Nothobranchius furzeri: one gene and its partners. The protein of the gene in region 3 binds, or shares a complex with, the protein of the main gene of each other region. Links are inferred from orthologs where the notes say so. Each region holds a gene or a part of one and is shown on either strand. Other genes may lie near its edges. The genes, in order: pigq, dpm2 and piga.

Region 1 (10,660 bases), on a different chromosome or scaffold from region 3:
AGAAACTTGTTTATTTATTTCTTTTCTTTTCAATTATCATTATTTCCCATTAGTAAAAAAAGTAAAAGTAAGAGGGTGCAGACTGGGAATACGAAAATGTTTATTGTTTTAGAAATCCTGAACATGTTTCCTCTGGAGTGACTTTGTTCCATTTTAGTGAATCAGCAACTCACTAAAAGGACAAAAAGAAAAAACAGGTTTTACTTTGCTCTGTCACTTCTGTCCTCGCTGTGTCCATCCTTCGTTTGTGCAGCACGATCAGATTTCAATAAGTGCTGCTTGGTCTCACCTGCTTACTTCACGGGTGTTTCTGTCAACATTTAATGAGTGGTTTGCTTGAGTAGGAGAAATAAAGCAGCACCTAAAACATGTGCTGCTCCTCCTAGAAATGATGCATTAGGTGGTCATCTGCAATGGATTCGCTTTTGTAGTCGGCCTAATTAAAAACGGACGTCACAGCCAATCAATAAGATCTAACTCATAAATAACTAGAACTGCAGCTTTTACACATAATGAGCTAATCTTATGCGTTAGTAGCTGAGAGTTATTTTCCACTCGTGTTCCAAAAGTTCACACGATCTTGTGATTTGATAGGCCTTTAATTCTCTATTACTCTTCCTGCACATCACTGGTCATCAGCTAGTACTAATTACTAATGCAATTAATGAACAAACCTGATGTGTGAAAATCATGCAGATAAAAAGAACAAAACACTGTTGGTTCAGATTTCGGACGTACGTCAGCAGCAGGAACCAGGGCGTCGGCCAGCATGGAGATGTGATCGTCTCTGTAGAGCCACGACATGAGAAACACGCCAAGGGCCACGTCCACCAGAACCGACACTAGGATGTTAGCCTTCCTTCAGACAGAAATGCACAGATGTGAGAGCACGTCTGGGCAAACAGGAAGTCCAAAAACATCAACTGTGTGTGATGACTTGACCAAATGTTACGTTGTCCCATAACAGCTGTTCTGCTTCATTCTAAGACAGATGATAAATGATAAATGGCCCGCACTTGTATAGCGCCTCTCAGAGTAAGGACTCCAAAGCGCTTTACACTACAGTGTATCATTCATCCATTCACACACACATTCACACACTGGTGGTGATGAGCTACGATGTAGCCACAGCTGCCCTGGGGCGCACTGACAGAGGCGAGGCTGTCGAGCACAGGCGCCACATGTCCCTCCGACCACCACCAGCAGGCAAGGTGGGTTAAGTGTCTTGCCCAAGGACACAACAGCAGAATTCTCTGTCCGGAGCCGGGATCGAACCTGCAACCTTCCGATTACTGGACAACCCGCTCAACCTGTTGAGCTACTGCTGAGCAGTTTGACTCTGAGGTTTACCTCATGAACTGGGTGTGACCTTCAGCTGATTTAGGCGAACTGAGCGTCCTCATGTGCTCTGTCCTGTAGCTGAGCTGGATAAAAGTGGACAGTATAGAGGACAGGAAGCAAAGCGGGAAAACACTGAAGATCCTGGACAGAAACAGAATAAAGATGCAGACTAAACAACAATGAATGTTAGTTTCTGAGATGATCTGATGATATTTGCGTATTTTGCATTTCTGCTCAGATAAAATCTAAAGATGTCAGAAAGGACTTTCTGTTGCTTTTGGACAAACTCTAGAGAAGAATAAATAAAACAACCGTTGAGGGACCCGCCACCACTTCTTCTCACCAGATGTTGCAGGTCCACGTCCACACAGAGAGCAGCCAGCTGATGAAAATGCAGAGAGGCACTGAGGCCTGTTTCATCAGCTCCACGATGATGCTGGCCTCTCTGCCTTCAGACTGCCAGTGAGTCGACTTCAGCAGCCCGTCGTCGTATTTGTCGAGGAAGAAGAGCGGCTGACTGTGCGCCACCGTCTGAAACATCTACAAAGGAGGAGAAAGAAAGGAAAAATGCAGATTTAGCATTTTTTATTTAACAGATAATCATTCTGTAGTTCTAAACAATGAAGGTAGTTCTGAGCGGTGAGGAAACGTTGTCTCGTACCTCCCTCAGCTCAGTCGAGGGTTCACTTTTGTTCTCTGGGTTTTCATTCGCTATGGGATGAAGCTGCGACAGCATCACCTTCCTCTGCTCATAGTGAACAAAGATCACCTTCTCTTCAGCTTCCTCCTCCCCATCACCTCCATCCTTGCTCTCTTTCTTTGCTTCTGCTTCGTTGCTTCGCCGAGCTGACCCTCCGGCTGGTAACAAAATAAAAGAAGCTTTTTAAATCAAACCGAAGCAGAAAAAAATAATAATTCACCCAGCTGACACAGACAAACACAATGTCTAAATGACAGACTTGATTATTTTGCCATTTAAATTTTAAACACATTTCAAAAACAGAAAAAATAAGATCGACAGGTGGAGTGGTTCGGCGTCTGCAGTGATGCGGACGCTGAGCCGATCTGTCGTGGTGAAGAGGGAGCTGAGCCAGAAAGCCAGGCTCTCGATTTACCGGTCGATCTACGTCCCAATCCTCACCTATGGTCATGAGCTTTGGGTAATGACCGAAAGAACGAGATCGCGAATACAAGCGGCCGAAATGAGTTTCCTCCGTAGGGTGGCCGGGCTCAGTCTTAGAGATAGGGTGAGGAGCTCGGATTTTCGGGAGGGGCTCGAAAGGAGCCGGTTGAGATGGTTTGGGCATCTGGTCAGGATGCCTCCTGGACGCCTCCCTGGGGAGGTGTTTCGGGCATGTCCTGCCGGCAGGAGGCCCCCGGGTCGACCCAGGACACATTGGAGAGGTTACATCTCCAATCTGGTCCGGGAACACCTTGGGGTCCTGCCGGAGGAGCTGGTGGAGAAGGCCGGGGAGAGGACGGTCTGGAGCTCCCTAGTTGGGATGCTGCCCCCGCGACCCGGACCCGGATAAGCGGAGGAAGATGACAACGACGACGAGAAAAAATAAACTGTCAACTAAATAGTAGTAGAAGTAAAAGAGGTTTTATCTGGTAAGAATAATTTAAATTATTTCAATTAAAATATTCAGATTCACATTTTGTTGTCTCAGATTCTCAAATGAGAAGTCAAAGTAAATCCAGAACGTTTGAAACATTTTTATTTCTTTCGATTTTTAACTGAAGAGAAGAAAACTAACATAAAAAAATGAAGGTGAGTAGGTTGAGTTTCTCACTCTGATCGCGGCTGAGCACCTCACAGGTGAAGCCTGTCTTTCCCATCTGACGACTGATCTGGAGCCAACGTTCCTGAGGGAAGATGGTGCTCAGGTCCCTCAGGAAGCTCTCCAATCCCTCTTGACCTTCTTTGGGTAAACTCCAGGAGCCAAGGACAGACAGCTCCACCCCGCTCTGAGCCTGCATCTGGGAGGAGATGAGAGAGGAAAGATTTGAGAGAGATTTAATTTGTTGCCAATTTAAAAACAAGAACACCATCACTTAGTGATAAAACCATTGAAAGTTCACATATTTTCTGCTGTACTAAAGTTTTCTAAATATGCAGAACAGCACAGTTGTTTTGGACCCCCAGTGACGTATGAAGGAAAGTAAGGGCTCTGCTGAGACACAAACCTGCTGGATGTACTGCTTCACCTGTCCAGGGATGAACGGGTAGTGGATGACCGCTAGAACCACAGCCGAGTCATGACCAGCGATCCAGCGGCCCACCAGCAGCCCGCTGTCAGCTCGGTTGCAGCATTGCGGGAAGAAGATCTTCAGCACCATGACTACAGTGGATCTAATGAAACATCAAGTAAAAACAAAATCAGCTTGACGTTTAATATTTACACAATAAAACTACAACTTAAATCTCAGGTTTGGTGTGTTGAAATTTAAAGATTATAGTGTAGTACAGTTCACTGTTTTGTCAACAGGATTAAGATCTGACTGTGAGAAGAAATGTGATCTCACCTGGCTTTTGATAAAGCAGCTGCTAAACTTTATACAGAAGTTATTTTAGATTTATAGATTCAGACGAATGATTTGGTCTCAGATGAGCAACACCAACAGGACAAATCACACTTTGTTGTTTGTTAGTGATTTACCACAAAACTAAACCAAACGTAGAGAAACAATACCAGAAAACTGAAGTGCATCATAGGCCAGCAGGTCATCTCAACAAAGGTTGATGTAGTGATGCAACTCAAAGTCAGATCTTAGGTTCACTTGAAATAAAATAAAATTTAAGTGCAAAAAAACTAATTATGAAAGTCTGGCTGCTTGAAATTAAAATACAGAATTGAGGACTTTGGTTCATCCTCTGTGTTTTATGTCTTTATACCGCTAAATGTAGTTGAGCCGAATGAAATTCAATTACAACGTGAACTGAGGAGACAGACGTGCGTCTACAGAAAAGAGCTGGCGGAGGAAAGACTTTGAGTTGGCCGATTTATACAATGAGTTCGGAGATCTCTGAAACCGGCTGGTCTACTTTTTGCCCTTGAAATATCGAGTCCACCCCGGTTGTTATGGCAACGCAACGAGCCCAGAGCGGAAATGTCATTGATTCCACTGACAATGATTTCGATCCAACAAGTTAGGAACAGCATGGCGATTAACTGTTGATTTAGCAGAGGAATACAAATGAAAATATATTGTAACATCATAAAAACATAAACAACTCACTCCCAAACGATTGAATCGGTCCCAATACGACGAAAAAGCGAGTTTATTTTGTCGACAGTCCGAAAATTCAACAAGGTTCACACCGAACAAACGACTCAACGCGGCCCTGTTTGAACGTCCAACATCATTATAAATGTAAGACAGAAGAGCGGTGCATACTTACCTTTTCTAACACGACTACAAACGTTCACCTTCCATCTGAACCCAAGAGTGAAGTTTCCTACGTTGAAACCATCGGTTGAAACAGCTTTCATTCACGTTGTTTACAGTCCGTCCCTCGAAGTGTTCGGTCAGAAACGCGCGTGAATGTAAGTTCCTATTAGCAACTGCTCTTTAATTAAAATAATAAATAACTAAAACTAAATGTAAAAATCGTTATTTGTGTTTTCATGAGACACCATTAATAATAAACAAGGATGTTTGGATATTTTATAATAAAAAAATAAAAAATTTCAAAATAAAAAACCCGAATCGTGCTGTGATCAGAATTCGATTTACAAATGGTTTGATTTTCGTTCTAAAATAAACAGAAATCATGACAACCGTACTGTCACTGGCAAAAAATAAATAAAAATAAAAATGGCACCACAGATCTGGCACCTCCTGTAAAGGGTGCCAAAAAAATCAACATTTTGCTGTCCTTGTCCCCCTGGTAAAATAAACATTGATGGATGCGTTAAATTATAGTGTTTTAGAAAACGTGTTGAATTAAAAGAGTGAGAAGTACATTTATACAATTGTGTATTGTGTCTTATGTTATACTGCACCAGTGATTCTACACTGTAATAAAGTTATTAGACAATTGACTTGGTGACGGACAGCTGTCTCCCTCTTGCAGCCATTCTCTGACACTTCAACAAACGAGCATTTTAAGTATTCCCTGCAGGACTGCAGAGCCACTACCTGCATGTTTTGTTTTTCTCTACACCAACTCACTTGGTTTTAATCAACGGGTAAATAACGAGCTCATGAAGAACTTGAGACACAAACGACGTTTTCGTGTCTGGGAGTAAGTCAATGTGTTGTTTTGTGGTACATACATCACATATTCGGTTTAAGAAGAAAATTACCAGAACACTAACATCTTCTCTCAGTATATCAAAAATATGATAGAAAACAAAACATCAATAGAGTGAGAGGTGGATCCAACAGACAAAGAAATAAAAGAATGTTGTGGCTCACCAGCTCAGGTCCTGCTGCTGTTCAAGAGTCTTAACTGTAAAGACATTTATCTCCCCCTGCAGTGACATAGCAAGAAAAGCGCGGGAGGAAAACACAGCTGATAAAAGAGCAGTACTACTACTACTACTACTACTACTACTACTACTACTACTACTACTACTACTAATAATAATAATAATAATAATAATAATAATAATAATAATAATAATAATAATAATAATAATAAATTATTCCTGTTTTATTTCAGGTTGTAACTTACCAATTTTTAAGCTGATTGTCTAAAAACCTATTTTAAAGAAATTCAATATTTTATTGATAGGTTTCATTTAAACCATATTGTTGCTATTTGTTGTATTTATGTGTTAATATTGTTCTGAGGTAAAAGCTTTCTCATTTTTATACAGCTGCAGCGACTTATTTTTAAATGTAGTGGTCTGGTTGAGACAAAGAATTAAAAGTTAAACTGCATTACCCAGCTGCACCTGCGGCCATCGACATATGCCTGCGACTAACGGCATTGTGGGTATGCAGGAAGTAAACAAACACACGTGAAAGATGGCGGTTTCAGAGCAGAGAAAGGAGAAAAACGGAGAGGTTTTAATAGAATTTAGGGCGTCGTTTTTTGCTATGAAGCGTCTAACGTCGTTTCCGTGGACTGTGAGTATGAGACAGCACACAAAATCACGCGTGGACGTGTTTAGCTGCTGCAGGAGGAATTCCCTCACGTGAAGTAGCAAATATAAAGCTCAGTTCTGTTTCCTCCACCACAGGTGATAGAGAATGATGAGTTAGCAGAGTTTATTTTAGATCTTCTGAAGCAGGTAAGAGGTATTCAGTCATTATTACCTAACATCCACGATTATCAAGGAATAAACAAATGTGTTATTTGTTTGACAGACGTGTCTTCATCCTTTGTGCAGGAGGTTTCCTCCCTCAGTCAGATACAGAAGGCTGTTTCTGTCTGAACTCATCAAACGGGTCGGTTCCTGCATCACTTTATTTTGATAGTTCAATTCAAAAATACTTTATTAATCTCAGAGGGAAATTGATTGCTGTAGTAGCTCAGAATAATAATAATAATCAAGTCATCAAAGAGTTGTATATTACAATGGCTGTTGGCAGGAAGGATCTCCAGTAGCAGTCAGTGTTGCAGCCAAACTGAAGAAGCCTCTGACTGAAGACACTCTTCCGTTGTCGGACAGTCTTGTGAAGAGAATGCTCAGGGTTGTCCATCATTTTCTTGATTCTCTGGAGAATCCTTCTTTGCATTACCTCCTCCAGCGGTTCCGAAACTGCCGAAACTCTGGCTGAGTCCTTGAAAGGGCTTGGAGTTCCTCCATCTTGTTGGCCAGTGATCTCACATTGCCCATTATGATCGATGGAAGAGATGGTTTGAATTTCTTCTTTCTCTGTCTCCGTTTTGCTCCCACTCTGCATCCATGTGTTTTAGCTCATTTGGGATTTGTGGCTTCAGTTGAGGTATTATTTCAGCTTTTCCAATGTTAATCAGCTGCTAAAGATTGTAAACCAGCTTGTTGCCATGGTTACGCATCATAACAAATGCTCAAAAAGTGAAAAAAGCTAAAAAAAATAGCAGTACCAGAAACAGAAATGTAAAGTGTCCAAAAAATAGTTTTTTTGAGAAACTAGAAGAAAAAATGCCCAAGAAAAGGCAAACCTTACATATAGTCAACAGAGCTACTCTAACATGCAGCCACCCAGAGCAGCGCAGTTCCGAAAAAAAGTTGTTTTATAGACGTTTGATGTGAATGTTATATTTAAATAATATTTTACGAGCTTTGATTAGGAGGAAACATAAAAATTACACTCTATTTACAAATTCATTTCCATTAAAGAACCAAAATTCATGATATATCGAATTTATACTTAGTTTCCTAAGTTTCAGTTTCTATTTTTAATCATTCAAAATTTTAGGATCTTAAAATTTTTAATCTGGAAAATAAAGACGGTCCTAGTTCTGATGCTGGCCTTGGAGGTGTTTATTTCTCTCGGGAGTGAAGTTTTGTGTTTTTGTTTGTGTGCAGCAGGAAGCTGCAGCCTGTGATCCTCTGGATGAGCTGTACGACGCTCTAGCCGAGGCGCTGGGAGTCGAGGAGACCCCGGAGTGCTACAAGAGCTACTTCCTGGTACTGACGCTAAAGACAAACCAGATTTTTTGTTTGAAAAGAAAATTATTCACACTTTTACAAAAGCTATAAACAAGAGTTTGTTTACAGCTGTGGAGTTACAGATGTGCCACACCCAAGAATAAACCACATAAGACAGAGAAATAAACAGAACAGTTCAGAATACACCTTTTGATTTCTTATATTTCCTTAAATAAATCTAATTAATTCTTCTCATAATTACATTGAGCTTTCTGAGATTTGACTGAGTTCAGCCCTAAATTACATTCAGAAAAGTGTTTCTGAGTTTTAAATGTGATATAATTTTTTTGTATTTTACATTTCAAAGCTCGTGTTAGCAAAAGTAAAATTTTATCAAAGTGTTGCAGAAAAACTGGAAACATTTTAAAATGACAAGAAGCAGAAAATAAAACAGGGAAAAGACAAAATAAAACTTATATAAATCTTGTAAACTACAGACTAGAATATCTAGAATATACCAACTTCATAATTCCAGGATTTATTTTCTGTATTTACTTTTATCCAGATTACCGTAATTTCCAGACTATAGAGCGCACCTCAATATAAGCCGCACCAACAAAAAAAAAGGGTGTCTACATACACACGCCGCACTCAAACACAAGCCGCGGCGCAGCAGCCACATGCAGGTCTCCGGCGCACAGCGCATGTACGGCCATAACATAAGATAATTAGACAGAAAGACGCTACATGGAGGTTTTTCCTTGTTGTTTTAATTCAACAAAAGGAATTTTAAACACGGGTGAATGTGCCTGCAAGTTTAGAAAAGAAAACAGCGCTGATAGCATTCATATTTCTGGATGGTTATAACATAAAAACAGCACTGACACGTTATTACCGGTCATTTGCATGTTTAGAAGAAAAGAACAGCGCTGACACAGCATTAATAAGCCCTGGATGTTTAGAAAATAAAAACTGCACACAAAACATGCCTGGTTAGTAAATAAAACACACCTGCCTACCAGAAGAAGTAATTCACTTTCATCTTCCTCCTGCGCTCTAAAGCCATTAAAGTCCTCTTCTTCAGTGTCGGAGTTGAACAGCCTCAGAAGAGCTTCGTCACATACCTTTTCTGTGGCGATGTCCGTGTCGCTGTCATCATCCCCGGGTGAAGCTGGCTTGAATGAGTTCTTCCCGCTGCCGTCTGCAGCGCCGAACCATGGATTCATTCATGCCAAGCTTACGTGCGGCAGCGCTGTTTCCCTCCTTTACTGCCAGATCGATGGCCTTCAACTTAAATGCAGCATCATATGAACTCATACGTGTAGTTACCATGATGAGGGGGTATGGATTTGAAACAGATTCTTCATCGTGCCGGCTGCTTGCATGTGCTAAATTAAAATGAGCACTTTCTTCGATTTCCACTTTTGACTTCCACCTGTTTCACTTTCTGCTAAAGCGTCCCCTGCAGGTGAAGGAAAATCTTCAGTAAAGCCGCACCTCATTATAAGCCGCATGTTTCAAAGCGTGGGGAAAAAGTAGCGGCTTATAGTCCGGAAAATACGGTAATTATTTTAAGCTGTTGATTTAGTGGACCTTTTTGTTAAAGTAAAATAAATCATTAAAAGCCCCCCGGGACCCTGACTGATGTTTGTCTTGTAAACTCGTGTTTTATTGTGGAGACAATGAGAAAAACCCGAGCCGTCTTTGGTTCTGTTGACTGTCCTGCAGCCCAGCGGAGACGCCATCAGTCTGTTGGAAAACGTGGCTCTGATCTCCGAGGGAACCACCGGACTCGTGACCTGGGAAGCTGCTCTCTACCTGACTGAGTGGGTTCTGCAGAACCAGCAGGTTTTCACCGGCAGGTACCGTCTCATCTAGATCATCCACTCAGTGGGATTGGTGATGAACCGGTCCGGTGTGACGTTGTTTCTCTCTACGGTATTTTTTATGTTTTATTATGAACAATAACTGATTATCAGTGTAGTTCTTCCTGAAGACCAGAGTTGTATTAAAGCAAGTTAAACAAAATACTAGACATGCACAGATCTGGGTTTTGTAGGCCAATGCCAAGTTTTGTAAAGCTCTGATCTGGTGTTGTTGATTTTCTTTTGATTACAGTTTATCTTAAAGTGTTATAATTAATATAACTTTTGTCATTTCTGGTTAACGTTGGTTACGTATTGTAACCCCATATTCTATGAGTCTAGTCGCAGCCCTTAAGCGAGCTGCTATTGGAAGGATGATCTCCGCATCAGCCAATCATGAAGAGCTTCAATGTACGCCCACTAATAGTGGGCCCCCTTGTGGGTATATAAGTGGAGCGACTCCACTGTTCGCCTCCGATGGCTCTTAGACCTAACAGAACCAGTGGGGCCATTGGCTTAAGGGCTGCGACTAGACTCATAGAATCTGGGGTTACAATACGTAACCAACGTTCTATTTCGTCTAGTCTTAGCCCTTAAGTGAGCTGCTATTGGAATAATGCGCAGCTGGATGGGTTTACGCCACACTGGTTAGCTCAACCAATGAACACACCCAACACGCCTTTTAGGGAGGGGCGCTCAGCCTCAGCCCAGGCTCGAAGGCTGAGGCAGCCAAAAATTAGAGTGGAGCCCCCACTAAAAAATAAAATCCATAAAAGGATGAAAATCATTCAAGCAGGGCTGAAGGGATGCCATAAAGCGTTCAATCAGCCTGCTGAGGTCCAAGCACCGAACGAGTGACAGAACCTGAAGACACATCTCGTAAATGATAACGAGCAGCCTGACAAATGTCTTCCATTGACACAC
Region 2 (9,104 bases), on a different chromosome or scaffold from region 3:
TTTACTTACCGAAAAAAATTAAGTGGAGACTCCTTGGACGCGCTATTAGTGCAATTAATGCCACAGCAAGTCATTTTGTCCAACAATTGCACAAAAAATATCCAAAAACAGAATACACAAACACGGAGACTCTAAATCCCAGAACAGTTTCCAGGCCAGACCGAGGCTCTACTGAGGCCTTTCCCCGGAGCTAGCTCTGCGGTCACGTGGGTCTGATGCTCATTAATTATACAGAATTTTAGGCTTTTAATACACCTAAACAGAAGAGTGAGAAAAAAATTCACCCCCCTCAGAGTTGTCATGAGTGTAAACTAGATCATTTAAACCTAAAACATGTTTTGGTACCAGGCTGTAAACATGTTTATTTCTGCTGTGAAATTGGTATTTTTAACATGGGAGTCAATGAGGATTTGCTCGCTTCTGACACCAGCCCCTAGTGGATGAGGGTGGAACTGCAATTTATTTCATTTCCGGGTTTGCTTCAATTTTTCACCCGCATTGTGGGGGCTTGGTACAGACAACTATGCATACTGAGAAACGGCCCAGCTCCACCCACCATCTCCACCCTCCATCTCTACCCATCATCTCCACCCTCTGGCTCCACCCTCCATCTCTACCCATCATCTCCACCCTCCAGCTCCACCCTCCATATCCACCCTCTGGCTCCACCCTCCATCTCTACCCATCATCTCCACCCTCTGACTCCACCCTCCATCTCTACCCATCATCTTCACCCTCTGGCTCCACCCATCATCTCCACCCTCCATCTCTACACATCATCTCCACCCTCTGGCTCCACCCTCCATCTCTACCCATCATCTCCACCCTCTGACTCCACCCTCCATCTCTACCCATCATCTCCACCCTCCAGCTCCACCCTTCATCTCCACCCTCCATCTCTACCCATCATCTCCACCCTCTGGCTCCACCCATCATCTCCACCCTCCATCCCTATCCATCATCTCCACCCACCATCTCCACCCATCATCTCCACCCTCTGGCTCCACCCTCCATCTCTACCCATCATCTCCACCCTCCAGCTCTACCCATCATCTCCACCCTTCATCTCCACCCATCATCTCCACCCTCCATCTCTACCCATCATCACCGCCCACCATCTCCACCCTCTGGCTCCACCCATCATCTCCACCCTCCAGCTCCACCCTCTGGCTCCACCCTCCATCTCTACCCATCATCTCCACCCTCTGGCTGCACCCTCCATCTCTACCCATCATCTCCACCCTCCAGCTCCACCCTCTGGCTCCACCCTCCATCTCTACCCATCATCTCCACCATCTCCACCCTCTGGCTCCACCCATCATCTCCACCCTCCATCTCTACAAATCATCTCCACCCTCCATCTCTACTCATCATCTCCACCCTCTGGCTCCACCCTCCATCTCTCATTTCACCCTCTGGCTCCACCCATCATCTCCACCCTCCATCTCTACAAATCATCTCCACCCTCCATCTCTACTTATCATCTCCACCCTCTGGCTCCACCCTCCATCTCTCATTTCCACCCTCTGGCTCCACCCACCAGCTCCACCTTCCAGCTCCACCCGTCATCTCCACCCTCTGGCTCCACCCACCACCTCCATCCATCATCTCCACCCTCCAGCCCCACCCTCTGGCTCCAACGCTCTGGCTCCACCCACCAGCTCCACTCTCCATCTCCACCTGATGGCATGTCTTAGTTAAAACGACACCTTTGACAGGTATGCTGATCCACACTGCTCCATGAGGTGAAGAGCGCTGTATGGGGTGGGTGTCTCTGTGTGGAACAGAACCACCTGGACCAGACCAGAACACAGCATCATCACCCTCCACCTCAGTGACCAGCAGAACCTTTGAAACCAGCTCTCAGTCAGAACCAGCAGAGTGGATCGGTACAGCCCGTTGCCATGGTGATCAGATGGGTCTGACCCGTGTTTTGATGGATCCGGGATCTGCTGGTAGGGTACTCACCGTGGGGAGGCTGATGGTATTCTGGATGGCTGCAAATAGACCCTCCTTCATCATGCAGGTCAGGCTGTAGAACTCGTGGTTCTGGTCGATCTCAAACAGACCCAGAAGTTTCCACTGCTGCCTCAGACCCCCCCATCTCATCCTCTTAACGGAGCGGCGGCGGTGAGAAGTCCTGGGAGCGCCGGATCCCTCCATTTGGACTCCAACAGAACAGGAACGGGTCAGCTGACCCGGTCTGTCGTTCACAGCTCCGACTAAAGAAATCAAAGAGTGAGAGAGGCCCGAGAGCTAAACAAAACACAGAACCTGGTCACCATGGAGACCGACACAAAGGGATGAAAGCTCAGCGGACCGCGGCGCAGCGCTAGTGACACAGTTCAGCAGATTTACGCGGTCCAATATCACAGAGTCAGGGATGGAACCAGTACCACCATCACCACCTCTGGGTTCCGGGTCTGGTTAGTTTACTGCACGCATCCCATCCTGCACGTGAGTTCAGGTGAGCGACCATTAAGACTTATGTGTCAATAAGCTCATAACATTAAAACTGGATGAATGGGTGAGGTGGTGACGTGGCTCGGGGAGTTTACGCTGCTCGAGGGTTGCTGGTTCAAACCCCCTCCTTGCCTGCGCGTATAGTGTCAGTGCCCCACAGCCTCAGTGTGGACGACCTTCTGGCTCACTCACTCCGGCCCCCCTGACCACCACAGCAGGGAGGTACAGGTCCTGCCCAAGGACACAACGGCTGATATAACGGCGCCTGGGTTCGAACCAGCAACCCATCCATTCTAGTGAACTCCTGAGCCTCTGATGGATGTTCTGGTAATAAACCTGATTCTGTTGAAACTAAATAAAGTTTACTCCAGATCAAAGAGGCGAGCCGCAGATCTTCATCATCATCATCATCACCAGAACTCACCTCAGAACGGACCGCAGCTCGGAGCCGGCTCGGTGGGTTCGGGTCTCTGACTCACATGTCCGCGCGGAGCCTGGTCGCACCACGGACCGGGTCCCACCCGGTGACACGCACGGACCGAACCACCGAAACGGACCGAACCACTTGCAGGAACCGGTTCTGCAACGTCATGCAGTGATGGTGCAGAACGATGAATAGCTGACAACAGTTTGGTCCAGCTGGAGGCTCCGGAAGCTTCTACACCCCCCACCCCCCCACACAGGCACTGATTGGTCAAGCTGAGGCTGAGCCTGGTGCAGGTCCAGATCAGGCCCAGGCCTGGAGGAGATCCTGGTTCCGGGTTCTGAACTCTTTTCTATCATCATCATGTCTGTGAGTTAGAAACGAGCGCAGATCCAAAGCAGAAAACATTTTAGTTTTATTTTAGAAAAACGATCATCCGGGAACTCCAGCTGCAGTAAAACACCAGAACAGCTGGATTTCAGCACTCAGATGTCAGTCGGTCTGCTTTGAGTGAACACATCTGGATGTGAAACGGATTCAAACAGGCTCCATTTAAACATTTACTCTTTCTAAACATTCAAATAAAATCTGGTTAAATCAGGTGAATGTTGACATCATCTAGACATGTGACCTCTGGTTCTCTGCTGCAGCAGGTGTGATCTTATAGAACCGGTCTGGTTCTAGTGAAGTCCTCTGAGACCTGAATAGAACCAAGTCTGAATCTGCAGAACGTTTTCTCCATCGTGTAGTACGAGCTGGGCCACTAGGTGGCGCCAACGCGCTATAAATGACGTCTGAAGCGGAAGGGCATCAAAGGGACATTTCTCTTCTTTGCAGAAGAACATGTTGTTTATAACTGCAGGAAAAAGTCTATTGTGCAGAACAAAAGTATGAGCTGGTGGTTCTGGTGTCGCCGCCAGCAGGAATAACCTTTAAGGGGTTCAATCCTCCTTAGGCCACTTTCTTTGGTTTGTGGTCCTTCCACATGATGAAGGTAGTGAAGGCTCCTGCAGAGGAAGCACAGAGTCATCTCCTCTCATCCACGGAAAACATCAACATCCCATATTCATGCGACAGAAAATAAACAGAATGTTTTAATGAAGAAGTTTATGAGTGAAGATACTGACCAACAAAGAGGACAAAGATTACTGCAGCAACACCTGGTAGGATCACAGAATATTCCCGAGGAAGGAAACATCTGTGCAGGGGGTGATCCGAGTCTACAAAAGGCTGGAAAGTAACACAAAGGTGACCTAATGAAGCTCAAGTCACATGATCAGATACAGAACTCAAGATGAGGACATGGAAGATGTTTCATTTAGAGAAATGTTAGCTGCAAACACCCAACAGAACCCACCAGAACGATGACCCAAACAGTGTAGTAGGAGAACAACAGGAGGCTGAAAACAACGAGACTCATCCCGACCGCCTGATCTGCTCCCGACGCCTGGAAGCACAAATGCAGCCTGGGATCAAGATCCAGCTTCCTGATCATCAACAGGAAGAATCAGAGATAAACAGTGAGGTGTTTGTGTGCGCGCGTGTGTGTGTGTGTGTGTGTGTGTGTGTGTGTGTGTGTGTGTGTGTGTGTGTGTGTGTGTGTGTGTGTGTGTGTGTGTGTGTGTGTGTGTGTGTGTGAATTAAATACAGTCTTATAAAAAGCTGCAGGATCCGGCATCGGTACGGTGGTTCTGGGAATGACTCAAAGTTTATTCTTTTAAGTATTATTTTATTTTTTAATTTTATATCATTTATTTATGTAGTTTATATCTATAAATATATTATCTATTAATATATAATAAATATATTTTAAATAGAAAAAAAGTGTAATCACCCAAAATAAACTACTGAAGGACTGGTGCATTTCTTGGTTTGGCCTAATGTCTTATTTAATCATGTTTCTGATGCCGTTCATTTAAAAACTCCATTCAAACTTTGAACACAAGACTTTAGTTCAAATCTGCTGATTCTTGATTTTGTTTGTTATGAAAATGTAAACAAATTAACCAGAAAGCTCTGATGTGTCACTTCCGTTGTTGTAAATACAATAAATCACAGATATGACATTTATTTTGGTAAACCATAACCCCAAACAAATAAAACAAATAAGGGCTGCACCGATTCTAGTTTGAAGGGCCGATACCGGCTCGGCTCACGATGACTCCTGCAGCACTGGTGATGTTTTTATTCTGAGCCTACTTCTGTCACCTGCTCGCGGATTAGGGTTAGGATTACAAACGCATTTCTTTTACACGCATTTGGATTAATAAATGATTTTTTTTTCCAACAATATCTTTTTTTTTTTTTTGTTACATTTTAGCAACTAGCAAACATTCCAACACACTAAACACTACATGAACATATTCTCCTCTCAGACATCTAAAAGAAAAGAAAGAAAAAAAACAGTCGATTTATCACTCCGTTAAAGGCCTAAATTTGACATTATCTCAAAACAAATGTCATTGTCCTCAGTCCTCATCCTCCTCAGCTAATACAAATCCTTCTACAAAGTTCACAAACGGTCTCCATACCTTCTCAAAAACATCCAATTTCTTTTTCAGTATACATGTTATCCGCTCCATTGGCAAAACCACCATCATTTGTTTTATCCACTGTGTGATACTCGGCTCCCTTGTTCTTTTCCATTTTAAAGCAATTAATCTTTTTGCTTGTAACAGACCCATATCAATAAACATTCTGTCGCTTTTTGTGTACCTCATGTTTTCAGGATACAATCCCAAAATAAGAAAGCAGGGATCCAAAACAACCTCTTTGGATAGTATTTGTTTCATAGTTTGTGTTACTGCAATCCAAAAGGATCCTATCTTCCTGCAACCCCAAATGCAATGCCAAAAATCACCTTTCCCTTCATTGCATTTATTACAAATGTCTGGTATATTAGGGTTATACTTATTCAACTTTTCGGGAGTAACATATATTCGCATCAACCATTTGTATTGCAACAACCTTAGTCTAGAATTGATTGTTTGTTTATGAGCTTTTGTACAAACCAATTCCCATTGATCCCTGGTTATGTCCTTTTTTAAATCATTTTTCCAGGCGTTCAATCTTCCTAACGAATTTTCAGATGTTTTGGACCTAAGTAATTTATATATTTCTGATATTGCCCCTTGTTTCAAACTGCTTTTACTTATTATTTCTTCCAGTTCTGATTTTGGTGGTTTGGTGCAGGTATTATTTTGATTTGCTCGAATGTAACTTCTAATTTGGAGATATTTGAAAAATTGCTTTCTATCAATATTATATTTATGTCTAAGCATATCAAAGGACATCATTTCTTGAGAGTCTGTTGGATATAAATCTTAGATTTTTTGAAGTCCTTTAATTGACCATTGTTTAAAAACTGTATCTTCTCTTCCTGGTCTGAAATTCTGATTTCCCCACATTGGTGTAAACTGTGACAATACAACAGGTTCATTCATATATCTTTTTACACCATACAATACTTTGACCATGTTCTTCACCATTGGGTTTTTTGCCTTTCTAATCAAGTTTACTGCTGTGTCTGAGAAAAAATATAATGGTAATGTTGGATGCAAATTCATACTTTCCATCTCTGACCATTGCGGGGCGTTATTTAAGTCAAAATAGTATCTTATAGACCTTATTTGACATGCCCAGTAGTACCACTCAATATTTGGACACATGACACCACCCTCATTGTATGGTAGATGTAACAATGACAATCTTATCCTTGGTCTCCCATTTTGCCATAAAAAACCGAGAACAAGCTTTTTGATCCTGCTAAACCAATCCACAGGAGGCGGCAAGGGGATGTTCTGATACACATAAAGCACCTTTGGCAGTATACTCATTTTGTATATATTAATCCGACCCATTAAAGAAATTGGTAGAGATATGCATCTGTCCACTATCTCTGTTATTTCTTTAGAAAGTCTTTCATAATTATTTTCCACAATCTCACTTAGTTTAGACGAAATCCGTATCCCTAAATACATAAAGTCCCTTACTGTCTTAAAATGGGATGTTACTGTGGGTGGGTTGTCCCTTTCTTCCTCATTTAGCAACATAACGGATGATTTAGATTTATTAATGACATATCCTGATATTTGACCAAACTCCCCTATCAATCTAAGCAGAGCAGGTATTGATTCCTTTATTTTTGAGAGATATACTATTACATCATCAGCGTACAACGAGATCCTATGTTCTACTTCATTCACCATAATTCCTGTCACCGATAAACTCGAACGTACGGCTATAGCAAAGGGTTCTATAGCTAATACAAACAACAATGGACTTATCGGTGAGCCTTGTGGACATCCCCGTTTCACCCTTATTGGTTCAGAGACATTTTTGTTTGTCAAGATTTCAGCAGTTGGATTTGAATGTAATAATTGTATCCATCTTCGAAACACATCTCCATACCCAAATCTAGTCAGAACATCAAAAAGATAGGGCCACTCGACCCTATCGAATGCTTTTTCGGCATCCAGCGAGAGTAAGGCGCTCTCTGACGAATTGTTTATTCCGTCTATAATGTTAAAGACTCTTCTTACGTTATGCAGACCTTGGCGTCCCAATATAAAGCCATTTTGATCTCTATGAATTACTGAGGGGAGAGTACCTTGCAAACGTGTAGCTAATATTTTACCTAACACCTTAATATCGGAATTGAGTAAACTTATCGGCCTCAAATTTTCACATTTATTACTCGGCTTTCCCGGCTTAGGTAGCAAAATGATTTGCGAACCCGTTACTGATTTAGGAAGACTTCCTTTGTGTAATGATTCCTGATACATTTCCAATAATGGTTTCACTAATTTACTTTTAAATTTTTTATAAAAATCAATTGGAAATCCATCTGGTCCCGCTTTTTTACCTGAACTCATACTGTTAATTGCCCTGCTTATTTCCCCTTCGGTGATTTCTGCATCTAATTGTTGTTTTAAGTCATCTGCAATAGTAGGAATATTTATTTTATCCAGAAACGCATTTCTGGAGGTTTGATCTGATCTATCCTGAGATTCATAAAGTTTTTCATAATAGTTTCTAAACGCCTTATTTATTTCCATCGGGTCTATTATCATTTCCCCTTTGCTGCTTACAATCGATGTTATATTTTTCTGCACTTCCAATTGTTTAATTTGCCATGCCAATATTTTTCCAGGTTTTTCTCCTTGTTCATAAAAAGACTGATTTAATCTCAAAATGTTCGAAGCCGCTCTATCTGCCGATTCTTTATTGTATTGTGCTTTTAGTATTAGCAATTTTTTCTCTGTTACTGGGTCTCTACTTTTGAATACTAGTTCCTCTAGAGTTTTAATTTCCTTTTCCATTTGCTGTCTTGTTTTACATGTTTCTTTAGATTTCGATGAAGTATATGCAATTATAACTCCCCGTAAACATGCCTTAAATGCCTCCCACCTAATACTAGCTGATGTTTGTGAACCATTTATAGTAAAATATTCATCTATTTCTTTTTCTACAAAAGTGAGGAATTCTTCATCATTCAGCCATTTCTGGTGTAAACACCATCTACGCTCCATTATTAAGTTTTTATGTGTATATATGATATTGCAGGGAGCATGGTCCGATAGTAATATACTGTCATATGAGCATGTCCTTATGTTTGATAGTAGGCTTGCTGATACTAAAAAATAATCTATTCTGGAATATGTATTAAATGTTTTTGAATGGCAGGAAAAAATTATATCGTCAGGTTTTAACTGTCTCCAGATGTCAATCAACTGAAGTTCCTTCATGAAGTTAAGAATTGTTTTTCGGCTTTTGTTATGGGCCTGGTCAGTCCCAGTTGGTCTATCCTTACAGGGATCCAGTACACAATTCCAATCCCCTCCTATGATGCATTTTCCTTGGAGTAATGAAATTGTGAGAAAAAGATTAGTAAAAAATGCATCATCATCTGTATTTGGTCCATATACATTAATTAAGTTAATGGTTTCTTGTATAAGTAATCCCTGGATGATCAAATACCTACCAAATTTATCTTTGATTACATTCTTAACCTGAAAAGGTACTGATTTATGTATTAATGTGATTACTCCCCGAGCATTGGATCTAAATGGTGCTGCATACAACGAACCTTGCCACCTCCTGCCAACCTTAATATGTTCCTCCTCCAGCAAGTGCGTCTCCTGAAGAAAAATTATTTTAGCTTCCAGATCTTTCATTTTGGTCATTACTTGCTTAATCTTTTTAGTACTTTTTAAGC
Region 3 (10,637 bases):
AAGCTGCAGCTGCAAATGACTTTCTGCATGAATGAAACTCTGGTATGTTTCATCAGGTGGAGATTTCTCAATGCTTAGTGTACTCCTTTTATTCTGATGCTGAAATGATTTATTTGTTACGGCTTGCCAACTCCGGGTCGGGGGAGAGGTCCTACCTCAAATGGAGGAGTTTAAGTATCTCGGGGTCTTGTTCACGAGTGAGGGTAGGAAGGATCGGGAGATCGACAGGCGGATCGGTTCAGCATCTGCAGTGATACGGACGCTGAACCGATCTGTTGTGGTGAAGAGGGAGCTGAGCCAGAAAGCCAGGCTCTCGATTTACCGGTCGATCTACGTCCCAATCCTCACCTATGGTCATGAGCTTTGGGTAATGACCGAAAGAACGAGATCGCGGATACAAGAGGCCGAAATGAGTTTCCTCCGTAGGGTGGCCGGGCTCAGCCTTAGAGATAGGGTGAGGAGCTCGGACATTCGGGAGGGACTCGGAGTAGAACCGCTGCTCCTCCGGATCGAAAGGAGCCAGTTGAGGTGGCTTGGGCTTCTGGTCAGGATGCCTCCTGGACGCCTCCCTGGGGAGGTGTTTCGGGCATGTCCTGCTGGCAGGAGGCCCCCGGGTCGACCCAGGACACGTTGGAGAGGTTACATCTCCAATCTGGTCCGGGAACGCCTTGGGGTTCTGCCGGAGGAGCTGGTAGAGGTGGCCGGGGAGAGGACGGTCTGGAGCTCCCTAGTTGGGATGCTGCCCCCGCAACCCGGACCCAGATAAGCGGAGGAAGACGACAACGACGTTTTATTTTAAAATAACTCATCAATCCTCTTAAATCCTCATGATTTCATTATATTTGCTGTGAGTGTCCAGATTGTTACCTGATCGTAGCAGCAGCTCCACACTCGCTGTCGACCCCGCCTTACAGGCGCAGTACAGCGGTGACCCCACCTCTGGCAGCTCCACATCAATCGAAGCCCCATGGGACAGCAGCAGCTCCAGACACTCTCTGTGATCTGTTATCACACACACACACATGCATGTGCATGCACGCACACATCAACAAGCCTGTGCTGTAGCCTTTAAACTGCAGCATTTTAACACACATGCACCTTTAGATGCAGCCTCATGGATGGGTGAAGCCAGCTGGCTGGTGGTGAGGGAGGATGCTCCGTGCTGTGAGAGGAGTCTGACACATGCAGCACTTCCACTTCTGCAGGAGTTAAAGAGAGGTGTGGCGCCATCTGCTGAAACTGCCTGTGCCTGCAGGAGTTTTATAAACATGTGACTTTTATAAAAACCAAAACAAAACAAAAAAAAAACCCGGATGTTTAAATTCTGCAAAGTTTGGGCTTTTGAATTTCAGCAGAAATGTGCTTTTTATGATGGGTAAAACATGTAAATTTGTTCTAATCAGGGGTCATTCAAGCACTTTCTGCTGTAACTTCATAAATAAAAGTTTCCTGCACTGCAAAAAACGATTTTCAAGACAGTAAAAAGGGCTTGTATTTAGACATTTCATCTTTTTTTTGGTCTAGAAAAAAAACGTCTTATCTGCAAAAAACAGCAATAAAGAAAAATAAGATGAAATGACTAAAATCAAAACTTTACTTTCTTAAAAATCTGCTTTTGCAATGTAGAAGCACAAAACTCATTCTAAGCACATTGAATTGCCTATTTTTATGCTTATTTATTTAGCAGGCGCTTTTGTACGAAGTGACTTACAGGTGAAAATCCAGCCAGCAGGTTGCCCTTGAGGCTAACAACAAACACTATTCAGTCAATCCTAGGTGGCAGCGAGGCAGCATAATCAATGTGTATGAAACGTGCTATATAAATAAAGCTGCCTTGCCTAAATAAATAATACAAGCTCAAATAAAGTAATACAAATACCATAAAACTATATGTTAAACTCTATTTTCACACTAAAACCTAAAAAAGGACAAACTTCAGAAGAACTCTAATCTCTAGCCTGATATTTCTCAACATGGACGCCTCAAAATCAGACCCCATTGTACATTTTACTAATAGTGTGTTCTCACATTTGCACCATTGTCCAGCAGCAACTTGGCACAAGCATAATGACCGCCGAGGCAGGCTTCATGCAGAGGAGAGACTCTGTCTATGGTGAGTGTGTCCACATGGAGGCCCTGGAGGCAATATGGAGGATAAAATCTGTCTGGTTTTCATTCTAAAACGTGTGTGACGGATATAAATCTCATGAAGTATGTTTATTCTGATCACCTGAGTGATGAGAGTCTTGATGTGCAGGAGTCTGCCCTGACAGGCTGATTCGTGGAGGGGGGTTCTGTCTGACCACGAATCTGAGACAAGAGAAACAAAAACATTGACTTCACTGGAAATGAAAAGTAGATCATTGTTCTTCTTGTTTTAGTGGATGTTTTTATTTCTTGATGAACCGCAACACACCCATGTTTTAGTTGGACCGCAAAGCTGGCCAAATTTGAATAGCAATGCAGTCTAATCTAATCCAGCTGACTCCTCATTTCTCTCATATCCAAAACTACAAAAACGAAACTCACCGGCCATCAGAGAGTTACACGGCAGACCCCCGTAGATGTAAAACGGCTGTGATCTCTTGGAGACTTGCGTTTGACCTGCAGCCATGATGGAAATGGAGGCAGACTAGGCTCACAAACTGAAAACAGACTCTTATCAGAGTCCTCGGTCAACACCCCCACATTACCTCCCCCCTTCTGCATCTGCATCACAATAGCAGCTGGAATGTTCCTGATCACCTTTCAGACAAAACATTTAAAAAATGTGAGGGAACTGCAGGGCTGCAGGATTGGGTGAGTAAACAGCTGCATCAAGCTTCATGCACGTTATAATAAAGCTATGGTAATAGCTGTAAAAAGCCCAAAACCATCACATGCAAAATGTTTTATTCTTTCTTAGTTTTACTCAAATGTAAACAAGAAAACAAGGTTTTCCGCCATGTGTGAACTTACTACTTCCTGTTTAACAGCTACTTTGGAGCTTTCCCAAAAAACAAATTCCCAGGAACAAATGGTTTCTGTTTGTTTTCCAATGAAGAATATTCCTTTGAAACATGAATAAAGAGGTGAATGTTTTATATAGATTTAAACATCTGCTTTATTTTACAGATCTAGGCCAGGAGGTTCTCCCCTCAGACACAAAATAAAACTTTAGAGCCACAACTGTTACAGGGCCTGTTGCAAAACAAAATTTTACAAATATTTAAAAATATTCATGGAAGAAGACGACCAGTGAAATGTTTTTTCCTTCAGATTTATAAAAATAACTTGAGAATTATGAGGAAAAAAAGACAAAATTTGGGATTAAGTTCAGGAATCTTTTTTCTCCTTCAAATATTAGAGATTTGTTTTCAGTTCTGAAAAACAATTTTGTTTCCCTTTGGGATTTAGAAGAAAAAGAGAACAATTTTTTTTCAATGAGATGTTGATTTTTGAGGACAATTCTGTGAAAGAAAAAAAACAGATGTAAAAATATTAGATATTTTTGGAAAACAATATCAGAAAAGCTGCTTAAATCCACAATTTTAGAAACTATTCATGTGTTTTAAAAAAATCAGTTAACATATTTTCAAATTATTTTTAGCAAACGTTAGAATCCATCGCAGATGGCTGCAGACTCATCATCATCTGCAAAAAAAGAAAGAAAAAAAAAACCTTCAAGGTTGAATTAAAAAATCCATCCATCCATTCTCTTCCACTTATTTGGAGTTGAGTCGTGGGGGCGGCAGCCTAAGCAGAGGCCCAGACTTCCCTCTCCTCTCCCCAGCCACTTGGGCCAGCTCTTCTGGGGGAATCCCAAGGTGTTCCCTGGCCAGCTGAGAGACATAGTCCCTCCAGCGTGTCCTGGGTCTTCTTTTAGGTCTCCTCCCGATGGGACATACCTGGAAAACCTCATCAGGGAGGCGTCCAGGAGGTATCCTAACCAGATGCCCGGGCCACCACAACTGGCTCTTCTCAACGTGGAGGAGCAGCGGCTCTACTCCGAGCCCCTCCTGGATGACCAAGCTTCTCACTCTTTCTCTCAGTTGGTTTTTACAAAGCAATGCCGTCAATTTGCCGCTAAGGTGCAATAAGACAGACAATTACAGCAATATTACTACCAAGGAGATGGAAGGAATGCTGCAAAATTTGCGCATCGCCATGCCAGAACTGTGCGCCTTGTAAAAAGGGCTTGTGGGAGAGCCCAGCCACCCAGCGGAGAAATCTAATTTCTGCCGCTTGTATCCGCGATCTCGTTCTTTCGGTCACCACTCAAAGCTTGTGACCATATGTGAGGGTTGGAACATAGACTGACAGGAAAATCAAGAGCTTTCCAAAAATAAATATAAACGTGTGCTCTAACAAATAATTTATCAAACCAACTGTTATTTTATTAGACGTGATTAAGAGCAGATGCTGCTGCTTTATTGTAACCAGTGTTTTCACTGCTTTAGTTCAGAGCAGCAGGGAGTGTAAGAAAAAATAAAAAGTGCTTATTAACTACCGAGAAGAGCCTCCACACAAAGTTCCCTTTGTTTAGAAAAATGTAAACGTTGAGCATTTGATCGAGTACAGACAGCATTTAAACAGTCTGATGGCCGAAGGAGAGATGGGTTTTCTCGTTTTGTGGCAAGTTTGGAATCAGTCAAACTTTTTCCTGCTTGTTTTCTGTCTCCACAGTCCATGAGGGCCGGTGGCATCAACAGCCACGTCCATGAACCGATCTGGCAACAACCACTGCAGAAGCAGCAGGAAGAGGAAGTCCAGCATGGCAACAAAGGCAAAGATGGATCCAGCCACGGGGCCACAGTGAGACCGGAGTCTCCGCAACCTCTTGGCCAGAGGGAGGACCTCTTCTCCAACTACTTTATCATACACCTGGGAGGAAAAACATATGATGATGTCATTACCTACACCAGATATCCTATCATTCAAGTCATCCTCTGGTACCTTTTCTGTCCTCTCTGCGACATTTTTCCAAGTGTAGAGGTTTCTAACACGATTGTGGATTGAAGCCGGTGAGGGGAAAGAATCGGATCGTTGCTTAGCGATGACTTGTTCCAAACCATCACACAGCGACCGCACAGTAGGTTCACACAGGGTTATTAAGTCATCAGGCAACACCTCAGGAATGCCACCGACGCGAGTGCTGACAACCTTCCAGGGAGGATGGAAAAGAGCTGCTCAGAGTTGATAAAACCAACATTCTAATAAGGCAAATCAGAATTATTCCACTACAGCTAAAGATCAGTCTGAATCTGTTTGTTTTAGATAAAACAATGAAGATTTTTAAATTCAGCATCACTATTCCAAAGATATGGAGTGTTTCTGAAAATAAAATCCTTTCTATTAAAAAAAGATGCAGACTTAAACGAATGTGTGAAAGCGGACAGAAAAGAAGCACCCTACAGAAAAGTGTTCAAAAGGCATCAGTTAGTGATCCTGATACACGACAAATCAAAGACTCAAAAACCAGCTGCTTCCTACTTGGAATGCATACCAAAGAAATATTTTACTAATGAGGTTGTTTCACTTCTTTACACTTTCACATGTGACTAGATTTAGTTTGCTACTAGTTTATATCTGTTAACGATAAAGTTACACAATTATCATGAATTGTATGAAAGATTTAGGTCTGATTAGTTTATTGTTACACAGAAAGTAAAACCTAAGTAAGAGATGTAAAAGAGATCAAACTTTTGCTTGTGTGTAAGCTCAACCAACTGGAAACAGGAGCAGACACTTTCCATGAATCAGTGAGAAAACACTGCGTGGGGGCCAAACAAGCTATCTGATACCTTGCAAGAATTTACCTTAACCCTTAGAGGTCCCTCGTGCATTTTGTTGCGCAGGCAGTCATGTATTTTTGAATAACTTTGGCTGTGTTGATGAAATTCTTTTTATTTTTATTTTGCTCCGGAGTGTGTTTTTGGGTACGTTTACTAAAAATAAAATGTGTTTTCATAATTTATGTGACTGTGTTTTTTTCAGTTTTCATTAGAAAAATCAGTTCTCACCCAAAGTCTAATATCAGTGCAAAATCCTACACAACAGATGTATATGTGCTTTTTCTGTGTGATTCTGCACACTTACATACATGCACTTATGACTCAATGCAATCGACAAATGACCAGAGGAAAGATTTTTTCATGCTTTGGTGGGTGGTGGAGGTTGGAGCTTTTTTCTGTGTGAGGGACCTGGATGTGAGTTTTTCTGAATATCTGACACCATACAAAAGAGACAGATAAAACAAAAAATATTTTTTTGCTCATTTGTGACTCTCTAGAGCCCTCACAATTCACCCCCTAAAGAAGTCCTCTGGACATAACACACGAGAAATGATTTAGGTTTTTTGACAAAATATGGCCCTCTCCCTGGGCTGCCACCTTACCGTGGTGGAGGGGTTTGAGTGTCTCAATGATCCTAGGAGCTAAGTTGTCTGAGGCTTTCTGCCTCTGGTGTCACCCATGGCAAACAGGTCCTAGGTGATGGATCAGACAAAGAGCAGCCCGAAGACCTCTTATGATGAATTATATAAATGGAAACCGTGTTCCCTCGCCCGGACGTGGGTCACTGGGGCCCCCCTCTGGAGCCAGGCCTGGAGGTGGGGCACGCTGGCGAGCGCCTGGTGGCCGGGCTTTCACCCATGGAACCTGACCGGGCACAGCCCAAAGAGGAAACGTGGGTCCCCCTTCCCATGGGCTCACCACTCGTGGGAGGGGCCAAAGGGGTCGGGTGCAGTGTGTGACGGGTGGTAGTCAAGGGAGGGGACCTTGGCAGTCTGATCCTCGGCTATAGAAGCTGGCTCTTGGCACATGGAATGTCACCTCTCTGGTGGGGAAGGAGCCTGAGTTGGTGTGTGAGGCTGAGAGGTTCCGACTAGATATAGTCTGACTCACCTCAACACATGACTCTGGCTCTGGCTCTGGAACCAGTTTCCTTGAGAGGGGTTGGACTTTCTACCACTCTGGAGTTGCTCCCACTGAGAGGTGCCGAGCAGGGATGGACATACTAGTTGCCCCCCATCGTGGTGCCTGTACGTTGGGGTTTAACCCGGTGAATGAGAGGGTAGCCTCCCTCTGCCTACGTGTGGGGGGACGGGTTCTGACTGTGGTCTGTGCTTATGCACCAAACTACAGTTCAGACTACACACCCATTTTGGAGTCCTTGGAGGGGGTGCTGGAAAGCGCTCCTTCCGGTGACTCCCTCGTTCTGCTGGGGGACTTTAAGGCTCACGTGGGCAACAACAGTGAGACCTGGAGAAGTGTGGTTGGGAGGAACGGCCCCCTGATCTGAATTCGAGGGGTGTTTTGTTTTTGGACTTCTGTGCCAGTCATGGATTGTCCATAATGAACACCATGTTCAGACATAAAGGTGTCCCTATGTGCTCTTGGCACCTGGATACCTTAGACCGCAGCTCGATGATCGGCTTTGTTGTTGTTTCATCTGACCTGCGGCCGCATGTCTTGGACACTCGGGTGAAGAGAGGGGCGGAGCTGTCAACTGATCACTACCTGGTAGTGAGTTGGCTCAGATGGTGGGAGAGGATGCCGGTCAGACCAGGCAGGCCCAAATGTATATCGCGAGGGTCTGCTGGGAACGTCTGGCAGAGTCTCCTGTCAGAAGGAGCTTCAATTCCCACCTCCGACAGAACTTCCAAAATGTTCCGGGGGAGACGGGGGGCATTGAGTCTGAATGGACCCTGTTCCGTGCCTCCATTGTTGAGGCAGCCGACCACAGCTGTGGTCGCAGGATCGTCAGTGCCTGTCGTGGTGGCAACCCCCGAACCCGCTGGTGGACACCGGCGGTTAGGGATGCTGTCAAGCTGAAGAAAGAGTCTTATCAGGTCTTTCTGGCCTGTGGGACTCCAGAGGCAGCTGATGGGTACCGGCAGTCCAAGTAAAACGCAGCTCGGGTGGTCACCAAGGCAAAAACCCAGGCATGGGAGGAGTTCGGTGAAACCATGGAGCAAGACTTCCGTACGGCTTCGAGGAGATTCTGGTCCACCATCCGGCGCCTCGGGGGGGAAAGCAGTGCGCTACCAACACTATCTATAGTGGGGATGGTGTGCTGCTGACCTCTACTCAGGACGTTGTGGATCGGTGGGCAGAATACTTGGAAGGCCTCCTCAATCCCACCGACACGTCTTCCAGTGAGGAAGCAGAGTCTGGGGACTTTGGGTTGGCCTCTCAAATCTCTGGTGCTGAGGTCACTGAGGTGGTTAAAAAGCTCCTCTGTGGCAAGGCTCCGGGGGTGGATGAGATCCACCCGGAGTTCCTTGGTGAGCGATGTTGTGGGGCTGTTGGCTGGCGCGATATCGCATGGACATCGGGGGCAGTCCCACTGGACTGGCAGACTGGGGTGGTGGCCCCCTTACTTAAAAAGAGGGACCGCAGGGCGTGTTCCAACTACAGGGGGATCACACTCCTGAGCCTTCCTAGTAAGGTCTATTCAGGGGTTCTGGAGAGGAGGGTCCGTCGGATTGTTGAACCTCAGACTCAGGAGGAGTCTCTATACCCTTAGGGGGATCATGGAGGGTGCGTGGGAATTTGCCCAACCAGTCTACATGTGTTTTGTGGATTTGGAGAAGGCATTTGACCGCGTCCCTCAGGGGGCCCTGTGGGGGGTACTCCGGGAGTATGGGGTACCAGGCCCTCTGATACGGGCTGTTAGGTCCCTGTATGACCGGTGTCAGAGCTTGGCCCGCATTGCCGGCAGTAAGTCAGGCTCGTTCCCAGTGAGAGTTGGACTCCGCCAAGGCTGTCCTTTGTCACAGATTCTGTTCAGAACCTTTATGGACAGGATTCCTAGGTGCAGCCAAGGTGTGGAGGGCATGCGTTTTGGTGGCCTGAGGATCAGGTCTCTGCTTTTTGCAGATGATGTGGTCCTGTTGGCTTCATCAGAACGTGATCTTCAGCTTTCACTGGAGCGGTTCGCTGCCGAGTGTGAAGCAGCTGGGATGAGAATCAGCTCCTCTAAATCTGAGACCAGGGTCTTGATTCAGAAAAGGGTAGAATGCCTTCTCTGGGTCAGGGATGAGGTCCTGCCCCAAGTGGAGGAGTTTAAGTATCTTGGGGTCTTGTTCACGAGTGAGGGAACACTGGAACGTGAGATCGATAGGCGGATTGATGCTGCATCTGCAGTGATGCGGGCGTTGTACCGGTCTGTCGTGGTGAAGAGAGAGCTGAGTCAGAAGGCGAAGCTCTCGATTTACCGGTTGATCTACGTTCTTACCCTCACCTATGGTCATGAGCTTTGGGTAGTGACCAAAAGAACGAGATCGCGGATACAAGTGGCCGAAATGAGTTTTTTCCGAAGAGTGGCTGGGCTCTCCCTTAGAGACAGGGTGAGAAGCTCGGTCATTTGGTAGGGGCTCGGAGTAGATCTGCTGCTCCTTTGCATCAAGAGTAGACCCGCTGCTCCTCCACATCGAGACGAGCCAGTTGAGGTGGCTCGGGCATCTGGTCAGGATGCCTCCTGGACACCTCCCTCGTGAGGTTTTCAGGGCACGTCCAACCGGGAGGAGACCTAAAGGTAGATCCAGGACACGGTGGAGGGACTATGTCTCTCACCTGGCCAGGGAACGCCTTGGGATTCCCCAGGAGGAGCTGGCCCAAGTGGCTGGGGAAAGGGAAGTCTGGGCCTCTTGCCTTAGGCTACTGCCCCTGCGACCCGACTCCGGATAAGCGGATGAAAATGGATGGATGGATGGATGGATGGATGGATGGACAAAATATGGCACTAAAGGAGTTAAATCTCAAAAACACTCAAATATTTTATTATGTTTTGCGAGGACTGAAGCTAAGAAAATAATCTGTGTAAAAGATTTTTGACTTTTGAAACATTTTATAATTTTTATTACACATTTAGCTAAAATGCATTTTTCTGTGCGAGGGACCTGAATGTGAGTTTTGCTGAATATCTGACACTACACAGAAAAAACAGAGAAAACAAAAAATATTTTTTGCTCATTTGCGACTCTCCAAAGCCCTCACAATTCAGCCCCAGAAGAAGTGATGTGGACATAACACACAAAAAATTATTGTTTTTTATACAGTTGATTTTTTTGACAAAATATGGCACTAAAGGAGTTAAATCTCAAAAACTCTCAATTATTTTACTATGTTTGTTGAGGACTGAAGCTAAGGATAGAATCAGTGAAATTTTTTTTTTGAATTTTGAAATTATATTTTTTATACATTTTGCTAAAATGCCTTTTGTTGTGCGAGGGTCCCCAGTGTAGCTTTTTTTAAGGAACCTCCAAGGGTTAAAAAGATAAGCAAACAACTTAAACTGAAGAATGTTACTAAATTATCAGATTTTTCCCACTCAAGTCCTGCTGGTTTTACACCTTTGAATAAAAACAGACCTGCAGGCCACAGCTGGCTCCTTCCACGATGGCCATACAGAAGGCTTCGGTCAGCGACGTGTTGAGGAAGATGTGTCCCTGAACCAAAACGCCGCGGACGTCTTTATGCTCCAGAGCTCCGAGCAAACGAACTCTTCAGCGAACAGAAAAAAATATTTTAGCCTCATTAACAGAAAAACAATTTTAAAGGCATACTTGGATCAGATCCGACTGATTTCACCAGACAAACTTAAAGGATAAAAATCACCAACGCTGAAACGCTTCTAAATATAAAACATTGAAA

The links.
Region 1: piga (region 3) and pigq share a complex: the UniProt entries of both Homo sapiens proteins name them as parts of the glycosylphosphatidylinositol-N-acetylglucosaminyltransferase (GPI-GnT) complex. The link is inferred for Nothobranchius furzeri from reciprocal best matches to the Homo sapiens genes PIGA and PIGQ.
Region 2: piga (region 3) and dpm2 share a complex: the UniProt entries of both Homo sapiens proteins name them as parts of the glycosylphosphatidylinositol-N-acetylglucosaminyltransferase (GPI-GnT) complex. The link is inferred for Nothobranchius furzeri from reciprocal best matches to the Homo sapiens genes PIGA and DPM2.

Annotation. Positions count from the first base shown.
Region 1 is NC_091745.1:17,735,975-17,746,634, reverse strand, and holds the start of pigq (phosphatidylinositol N-acetylglucosaminyltransferase subunit Q), read right to left. Parts: upstream 5,897-10,660; 5' UTR 5,764-5,896; intron 4,873-5,763; exon of another isoform or gene 4,745-4,872; intron 3,695-4,744; 5' UTR 3,682-3,694; coding exon 3,529-3,681; intron 3,322-3,528; coding exon 3,099-3,321; intron 2,200-3,098; coding exon 2,003-2,199; intron 1,882-2,002; coding exon 1,685-1,881; intron 1,483-1,684; coding exon 1,351-1,482; intron 860-1,350; coding exon 739-859; intron 1-738. Other genes in the region: protein-lysine N-methyltransferase EEF2KMT, read left to right, coding at 6,319-6,420, 6,534-6,584, 6,661-6,741, 7,809-7,910, 9,600-9,733. UniProt on the Homo sapiens protein: Part of the glycosylphosphatidylinositol-N-acetylglucosaminyltransferase (GPI-GnT) complex that catalyzes the transfer of N-acetylglucosamine from UDP-N-acetylglucosamine to phosphatidylinositol and participates in the first step of GPI biosynthesis.
Region 2 is NC_091746.1:70,777,251-70,786,354, forward strand, and holds the end of dpm2 (dolichol phosphate-mannose biosynthesis regulatory protein), read right to left. Parts: intron 4,335-9,104; coding exon 4,245-4,334; intron 4,118-4,244; coding exon 4,015-4,117; intron 3,895-4,014; coding exon 3,839-3,894; 3' UTR 3,279-3,838; downstream 1-3,278. UniProt on the Homo sapiens protein: Regulates the biosynthesis of dolichol phosphate-mannose. Regulatory subunit of the dolichol-phosphate mannose (DPM) synthase complex; essential for the ER localization and stable expression of DPM1.
Region 3 is NC_091754.1:25,451,205-25,461,841, reverse strand, and holds the end of piga (phosphatidylinositol N-acetylglucosaminyltransferase subunit A), read right to left. Parts: intron 10,488-10,637; coding exon 10,355-10,487; intron 5,143-10,354; coding exon 4,936-5,142; intron 4,864-4,935; coding exon 4,627-4,863; 3' UTR 4,420-4,626; downstream 1-4,419. Other genes in the region: asb11 (ankyrin repeat and SOCS box protein 11), read right to left, coding at 868-1,002, 1,099-1,249, 2,029-2,136, 2,231-2,310, 2,530-2,614. UniProt on the Homo sapiens protein: Catalytic subunit of the glycosylphosphatidylinositol-N-acetylglucosaminyltransferase (GPI-GnT) complex that catalyzes the transfer of N-acetylglucosamine from UDP-N-acetylglucosamine to phosphatidylinositol and participates in the first step of GPI biosynthesis.